Canis lupus familiaris: one gene and its partner. The protein of the gene in region 1 interacts with the protein of each later gene in a biochemical or structural test. Links are inferred from orthologs where the notes say so. Each region holds a gene or a part of one and is shown on either strand. Other genes may lie near its edges.

Evidence for each region.
Region 2: the proteins of PTGES3 (region 1) and HSF1 form a complex in vitro, tested with the Homo sapiens proteins (2 studies listed by BioGRID). The link is inferred for Canis lupus familiaris from reciprocal best matches to the Homo sapiens genes PTGES3 and HSF1.

Annotation. Positions count from the first base shown.
Region 1 is NC_049231.1:1,239,658-1,243,466, reverse strand, and holds part of PTGES3 (prostaglandin E synthase 3), read left to right. Parts: intron 1-308; coding exon 309-398; intron 399-2,867; coding exon 2,868-2,930; intron 2,931-3,765; coding exon 3,766-3,790; intron 3,791-3,809. UniProt on the Homo sapiens protein: Cytosolic prostaglandin synthase that catalyzes the oxidoreduction of prostaglandin endoperoxide H2 (PGH2) to prostaglandin E2 (PGE2).
Region 2 is NC_049234.1:38,494,911-38,499,230, reverse strand, and holds the end of HSF1 (heat shock factor protein 1), read right to left. Parts: intron 3,900-4,320; coding exon 3,824-3,899; intron 3,752-3,823; coding exon 3,690-3,751; intron 3,564-3,689; coding exon 3,467-3,563; intron 3,375-3,466; coding exon 3,238-3,374; intron 3,154-3,237; coding exon 2,878-3,153; intron 2,497-2,877; coding exon 2,416-2,496; intron 1,577-2,415; coding exon 1,471-1,576; intron 1,389-1,470; coding exon 1,323-1,388; intron 1,241-1,322; coding exon 1,168-1,240; intron 1,091-1,167; coding exon 885-1,090; 3' UTR 635-884; downstream 1-634. UniProt on the Homo sapiens protein: Functions as a stress-inducible and DNA-binding transcription factor that plays a central role in the transcriptional activation of the heat shock response (HSR), leading to the expression of a large class of molecular chaperones, heat shock proteins (HSPs), that protect cells from cellular insult damage.

The DNA of each region.
Region 1 (3,809 bases):
CCAAAATCAAGAATCAGAGGCTTAACTGACTGGGCCATTCAGGTGTCCCTCTCCCCCCCCCTTTTTTTAAATTATGATTAAGAACTGTGAGAGAAGCTTTGTGAAACTATCTTGACTATTAATTGCATTTTACTTCATTCTGATTTTTTTGTAATCTATTATTTTTTTTGTTAATTTTTTGTCTTTTTTGTTAATTCCATGCCTCATTAGTATGAACCTACAGTCCCAAAAATATTGTTTAAGGTACATACATACATACCTGTACGTATAAGTTAACCTAATTACAAGATGTTTGTATTGATCTATAGCTTAATTGGCTTAGTGTGGACTTCAATAATTGGAAAGACTGGGAAGATGATTCAGATGAAGACATGTCTAATTTTGATCGTTTCTCTGAGGTAAGTTCCTATAAGCGCATTTTACCACCTCTCAGTACATTTCTATGTGAATTTAATTTGGTTTTAAAGCACCTTAGTGGTACTTAAGACCTAATTTTTTTTTTACTTTAAAGGTCATTCTGCAGCAAAACAAAGTAAGATCTTAACAATGATCATTTTATCCTAAAGTTTAACATTCTTTTATAATTCTTTTAAAAATTAGTGGTAAGTTCTAAACTTGTATACAGACAAAAATAAACCGTATTGTCAATGCAAATATAACTAGTTTTGGGGGGTGGGGTGTTGGTTTGTTTGTTTTTACAGCCAGTTGTTATTCTAGTATTGAAACGGATTTTTTTTTTTTAATTTTATTTATTTAGAGAGAGAGAGAGAGAGAGAGAGAGAATGGCTGGGACACAGGCAGAGGGAGAAGCAGGCTCCATGCAGGGAACCCGACATGGGACGCGATCCCCGGATCTCCAGGATCACACCCCAGGCTGTAGGCGGTGCTAAACCGCTGCGCCACCGGGGCTGCCCTGATTTTTTTTTTTTTTTTTTTTGAGCATGGATTACTTTGCATTTTAGAGCCATGTAATATGAATATAAACTTTAAACAGAAAAATGGTAGTGAGATGTGCATGATGAGTGGTGTGTAAGGATGTTTTAGTTCGCAAAATTAAGGATTAAAGTAAGCCTTTTTTTTCCAAGATGTCATCCAAATACATATTGCATGGCCAAAGGGGGGGGAAAATCATTGATCTCCCTTTAGGTAGACTAAGCCTTATGAAATAAATGTACTGCAGTAAACCTGATTAGAAAAACAGAATATTGGGATCCCTGGGTGGTGCAGCAGTTTGGCGCCTGCCTTTGGCCCAGGGTGCGATCCTGGAGACCTGGGATCGAATCCCACATCGGGCTCCCGGTGCATGGGAGCCTGCTTCTCCCTCTGCCTATGTCGCTGCCTCTCTCTCTCTTTCTCTCTCTGTGACTATCATAAATAAATAAATTAAAAAAAATTAAAAAAAATAAAGATTTAAAAAAAAAAAAAGAAAAACAGAATATTAGGTTGTAAGTTGAAGATGAGATCCATTTCATGGCTATTTGAAATTTTAATTGACTAGGTTTTGTTTATAACCCTTCTTTGAAAATTAAGGGCTAAAAGGAATGAATTCCCAGTGTCATGTATGCAACTGCTTATTCAACATCTCACATGGTTCTGGCACCTTGATTTCAATTTAAAGAGGAAAGGGAAGATTGGAAGATTCTCTTTATGCTATTCGTATTTCTTACCTGTAGTAATTGGTGCCACCATTTTACCCAGCTCTGCATGTCACAGCTTAACACTGTTTTCTCTTACTGTCTCCATCTAGTATAACATTAACAGCTATCTTTTGTTCTGTTTTTTGTTTTACATCTTAAATAGTTCTTGAATGTATTCAGTTCATTCTATCTCTATTACCATTGTATCCTCAACAGCTAGCATTGTGTTTGGCACATTTTGAGCATTTTTGCTGCTCAAAGAAACTTAACCGAAGTGTTCAACAGTACTGTAGGGAAACTTTATTAGTTATTCATATTATTCAACACCAGGTTGCCCAGAACTTTTATACTGAGCAATTTGAGGATTAGGTAGCTTTTAAAGGGCCCTTCTAACTCTAAAGTGGAGGTAAGCATAGATTTTTGAAGCTTTAATTTTTTGTTTATAAAGTTATGTATGATTATGTGAATATTTTAAAATTTAAAAAATTAACAGAAAAGTTGTCCTTGAAGAGAGAAGTCCCTCCCCATCTGTTTTTAGTTTGATTTTTTGTATCTTTTTAAATAATATACTGCTTGATTTGTGATCAGAAATTAAAGATAGTAAAAAAAAAAAGAAAAGAAATTAAAGATAGTAAGTTAGTATTTCATGTAAGTATGCTGTGTTGTTAGTCCCAACATCTTGTGAGTATACAAGAGTACATACACAAGGGTATTATTCTCCATAGTATATGTACCTTTTATTTCAAGAATTATGTTTATTTTCTGTTTTTAACATGTTACTGCTGTTCAGTCTTTGATTTAGGATTCAGGCCTTTTATACAATGTAATCATCCTGAGGGTCTTTATAATACACATGCCACTTAGCTTAAGATATACAAAGCTTTACAACTACAAATGAATCCCATTCTTTTCCTTAGGCACCAGAGGTAAGCACTCTTCAGGATTTCGGTGTTTAATTTCTGCATCATAGATAAATATTTGCTAGATAAATTTTACTAACTTCACTTTTCTTCAATGAGAACTTAGTCTTCCCTATAAGTTGTCAAGATTTTATGTAATTACCTATAAAAATCTACCTTTTCCAGCAAGGAAGGTACTTAACATTTGTTTTGCTTTTTTTATTGGTGGAAATCTATGACAGACTTAAGGTGTATTCTGGAGCTTGCAACCTCTAATAACTAGGGCTTAATTTAACATCATTTTTAAAACTAATTTTTACACTTCAAATAGATGATGAACAACATGGGTGGTGATGAGGATGTAGATTTACCAGAAGTAGATGGAGCAGATGATGTAAGTCTATAAATTCTTTTCTCTGTTTACTTAAATAGTAAGAAACAATGTATTTATAGGTTGTTTTATATAGATTCAGGATTGCTTTTTTGCCACTTCTTGTTGGGTTTTTTCCCTAAGAAATACAGGGAAAAGCAATTTTGAAATGTGCTCATTTTTGAAGGATAGGTATCTACTAGGGAATAGATGTCCCATGGACCATTCTTCAAAGGACCAGATTTCAAGAGAATCACTGCATGGAGACATCATATGCCGTATTCAATTAAGAATTAGCTTAGAGATTATCTTGACTAAGTTAAACAGGTTTTGCAGCAGGATTGATCAGAAACCATAAAGTAGATGGACCTTTCTGAATCTTTAAGGATAAACTGGATCACTTTTCTCAACATTCCCCCTGTTGGCATCCTGCTAACATCTTCAAGAAAGTTGTTCGGTACAGTTTGAAAAATATGTAGACAACTCAATAGCTAGGATTGGAATTCATTTTGTCTTGTATCAGTCCAGTAGTTTTCACAGTGAGCTGTTTTCCTCTTCCATTGAATGCCAAGGGAAAAGAGAAACCATTTTATACCAAGATAAGTCAGGAATTTAAGGGATGAGCACCAATTCCCATCAAAAGGCACACACTGTACAGGAAGGTAGATCCTCAGCAATTATGTCTCTTCATCTTAAGTAAACCTGTTAAGTTCAGTGATTATATTCATAAGCTTAATATAACCACATATCTTTACTACTTTAGTGAAAGTACAGTGCTTCAGCTTTTTAAGGCAAACTGTTCAGTTAGTAGAGGAATGTTTGATCAACTTGGTAACTTTTGAAATTCTTCTTTCTGCAGGATTCACAAGACAGTGATGATGAAAGTAAGTGTCTTTGTAATAA
Region 2 (4,320 bases), on another chromosome or scaffold:
CCCTCAGCTCTCCCCACCCTGGGCAGGGCAGTTCACACAGCCTCAGGATACCCCGCTCGCAGGCCCGACCACCTGCCAAGCCTGAGAGGTGGGGACAGCCTACCTCGGCCGGTGGGCTCTCTCTACTAAAGACCCTGCGGCCAAGGCAGGGGTGTGACAAGGTGCCTGGGTGGTGGCCTCAAGAGCCCTGCAGCCCCTGCCTCCTGGTAGCTGTCACCCTGGGCCGTGCTGAGGATGGGGGGTAGGGGACGGACGCCGGGGGCACAGAGCATCAGGTGGGCTGCTCTGGTCTGTTGCCCCCCACCCCTCCCCTGCTCCCAAATCAGCCCAGTGCCTTGAGACCGCGTTAAGAGCAGGGACGGCTGTGCCAGGAAGATACACATGGCGTGCCCGTCCACGCTCTTCACCCCCCCGCCCCGGTCCCCTTGTGGGGAGGGTGTTCCAGCGGGTCCATCCCACTGCCCCCGTCCCATCCTTTAATAAAGAATTGTGAGCCACACGGTTCCTGTGGAGTGAGGTGCGCACAGCTCTGCTCTGGACATCTGCCTTCCCTCCAAGGCGGCCACCACGGCCAAGCCCCCCACCCCCTCCCCACCTGGGGGTGGCGGGAGGAAACACGCGGGAGGCCACAGCGTACAGTCTGTCCTTTATAGGTCTCTGCCAGTCTCGTCCGTCCGTCTGTCCGTGTGTGTGTATATCTCTATTGAAGGGGTGAGGGGGACTCTCGTGTAAAAACCCAAAATCCAATCCTGACTGAATCCCCGCAGTGCTGGTCAGTCCAAGGTGGCTGTAAAGCCTCAAGCCAGCCAGGCACACAGGGCTGTGGCCCTCGCTGCCGACCGGGGTCCACGCCTAGCCCTTGGCCAGCCTTCCTCCTGGGGCCTCTAGGAGACAGTGGGGTCCTTGGCTTTCGGGGGCTCAGAGCCCGTCAGCAGGGAGATGGTGGGGTCATCTGTGTAGTCGTCCCCCTCGGAGAAGTAGGAACCCTCCCCCAGCTCGAAGAGCACGGGCAGGTCGCTGCTTCCCATATCCACGGAGCCCGGGTCCACCAAGAACAGGGGTTGCGCCGTGTAGTGCACCAGCTGCTTCCCTGGGGGTGGGGGCTGGGTCAGGGCACAGGTGTGGGGGGCACGGGCGGGGCGGGCATGGGCTCGGGGCTTGGCTCACCTGAGTCAGGGCTGCTGTTCTCTGCCTCAAGAGGCCTGGGTGGCTCCTGGGGGGAGAGGAGCTCCTGGATCTGCTGGGGAGCAGGGGGCAGAGTGAGGCTCCGGCTTGCCGGCCCACCCCGCCCCAGGCCCCTGCCCCCCTCCCTGCCTACGCACGCTGGCCAGGCTGCTGTCAAGGTCGGGCAGGCTCATGTCGGGCACCGTCACGGAGGGGCTGAACAGCTGCGGGGAGGGAGGGCAGTCAGGCCACACTGGGAGCCCGCAGCCCGCGGGGAGGGGAGGGGAGGGGAGGGGAGGGACTCACGTCCAGTAGGGCGCTCGTGTCCACGCTGAAGCCGTGGCTCGTCAGCATGGTCTGCAGGTTGTCCAGGTTGGAGTCCATGGCGTCCAGGTGGTCACTGAGCTCCGTCCTAGCCGGAGTGGGTGGGGCAGGTAAAGTGGGGCTCTAGGCACCCCCAGCCGGATGCCTTCCTGCCGGTGCTCACACCCGCCATCCGAGAGGGGCTGCCCGTAGCGACGCCCCACCCTGCCTGGGCTCCCGGGGGGGCCCCGCTGCACAGCGTGTGCGGGAAAAGGGCCAGAGCCTTGGCCACGGCGGGGACGGTAGCTCAGGCCACGCCACCGGCATGTCACCGTGAGGCCCAGTAAGGCCTCTGGAGGCACTTCACACAGGGCCAACGTGGCGGTGGGGAGGGGGCAGGAGGGGTTCAGTGTGCAGGACGGGCTGGGGGCAGTTTTCAAGGCTTGACAAGGTCTTGCCTTTCCATTGGAAGGCGGTAGGGACAGGGAGGGGGAACTGCAGCAGGGTGCGGAGGGCTGGTCCGACGTGTGCACGCGTGTGTGTGCCCCCGTGCATGCTGGGAAAGAGGCCTGGGTCAGGAGGCTGTGGCCAAGAAGGCCCTGGGCCACTAGACGGGCGGCCACCAGGCCGACTCTGGGTGGTGTCCTTGGGGCCCCGCCTCACCCCTCCCCGCCCTGCGAGGAAGCCAGTGCACACAGCAGCCAGGGCCTCGGCTGCACCGGTGGCAGCTGCCAGGCTGGGAGGCCCATCCTGGTCAGTCGGCGACCTGGGCCACTGGCTCAGGCCCCAGAGCCTGGGGTGGGGGTTGCCCCCCGCTGCAGAGGGCCCGGCGCCTGTTCACCGGGCAGGGCCGAGTGCTCATGGCCAGGCCAGGGTCTGGTCCGAGGCTGGGGAGGGGCCTGAGCTCTGGCGGAGCCCTCCTCCCTCCCCAGTGGGGACGGCGCTAACCCTGGCTGGACTCGGCCATGCAGAGAGGAGGGGCAGGGGAAGAGGCGGGCGACCCCAGACATCTGTGGAGCGCGAGCCAAACTGCAAGATACAAAGACAAGAGCCCCCCGATTGCAGGTGGGGGCCAGGTGGACTCCGTGCCCCCCCGCCCTTGCTTGCCTGGCCTCTGGGGCAAGCCCCCTGCTGGGCAGCAGGACAGGTGCAGTGGCCTGTTGCAGGAAGGGGTGACAGCAGCAGCCAGAGTGGCTCAGAGAGCAGGTGTCACAGGCCTGCGGGGCCACACCCCCTTGGCTCCTGAGACCCTGGGGACGTGGGCCCAGCAAGCTCTGAGCTCAGGGCCGGGTCTGCTGGTGCGTCCTCCAGCGACCGTGTGCCCGCCGCCTGACGACCACCCTGTAGCAGCCCCTCCAGGACAGTCCCAGCTTCCAGAGGCTGTGGTGGAGGTGGGTGGGGGGCACTCACTTGTCCAGGCAGGCTACGCTGAGGCACTTCTCAGGGGCCGGGGCAGGCGGGGGCGAGGGTGAGGGGCGGCGGCCCCCTGCATCCGTGAGGGGTGTGGTTGGGGCGGCGGGCGCAGGCTCGCTTTCCCGCAGGATGGAGTCAATGAGGGCGGTGGGGGACAGGGGTATCTCCACGACTGAGGACTGGTGTCCAGGACTGGCCTCCTCCACCCGGGGGCTCCGAGGAGGGCTGGGGGGCTCCTCCTTGACGCGTACCACGGGGCTGCTGGACAGTGGCCTGCGTGTGGGGGCGCACACATCAGGAGCTGGCTCTGTGAGCCCACCCCTCTCCCGACGGGTGGGAGGACGACGAGGCCCCCACCTCTCGTCTACGCTTCCGCCCGGGGAGGCCAAGGGACTGCTGGGGGCCAGTTCAGTGATGTCGGAGATGATGGGTCCGGAGCTGGCGACGGCATCTGGGGAGTAGAGGCTGGAGCTGCTGTAGGCCGGGGAAGGAGCCTGCCATCAAAGGGAGGTGACCTATGTGGCAGGAGCCGCAGCGGCGCCTGCCCGCGCCCCCCCGGGCCAGGCCTGCTGCACCCGGTGCTCACCGAGTAGGGGCCCGAGCCGTGAATGTGCTCCAGGGAGTACTGCCGGCCATACTTGGGCATGGAATGTGCCGAACTGCCGTCGTTCAGCATCAGGGGGCTGTGGGGGGAAGGGGCGGGGTCAGGTGCCTCCCCCGGGCCTCGGCCACCCAGGCCTCAGCCAAGAGGACACAGGGTGGCCGGGGGCCCCGAGCTGAGGAGCAGCCCCCCCGCCCCTGGGCCTCACATTTTCCTCTTCACCCCCAGGATCCGGTTCGACTGCACCAAGGAGATGAGGAACTGGATGAGCTACGGGGGAAAGGCACAGTCAGCCCAGCCGAGGACGGGACCTGCAGGCACCCCCCGGGGCCCGCCGCGCACCTTGTTGACGACTTTCTGCTGCTGGGCGTGCTTCTGCCGCAGGCTGGCCACTTCCCGCCACAAGGCCTCGTTCTCGCTGTAACACACCGGGTGCAGTCAGCAGGACTGGGGGGCTCCGCAGACACCCCCCACCGCCCGCAGGTGTGGGTCATGTGTGCGGTGCTCTGCCACAGGGCCAGGGCGGGACAGACAGAGGTACAGGTGGAGGATAGTGAGGCTCCCAAGGAAGGGGCATGTTGGGTGCACCCCAGGATCCTGGAGGAGACCCCTGTGGGGGCACACAACCCGAGTGTCTGCCCCCCTGAACCTGAGGCGAGGAGGGAAGGCCTGGGGTACGGTGCAGCCCAGCTGTTCAGGCTGCAGAGTGGCTGATGGGGGTTGTCGTGGGCCTTTAGGGAGCTCAGGGCCCATCACGGGGCCTGTGAAAGGCTCAGAAGGGGCTTCAAGGGGTATGAGTGCCACTGGAGCACCATCTTCCCAACAGGGATGCACGGGGC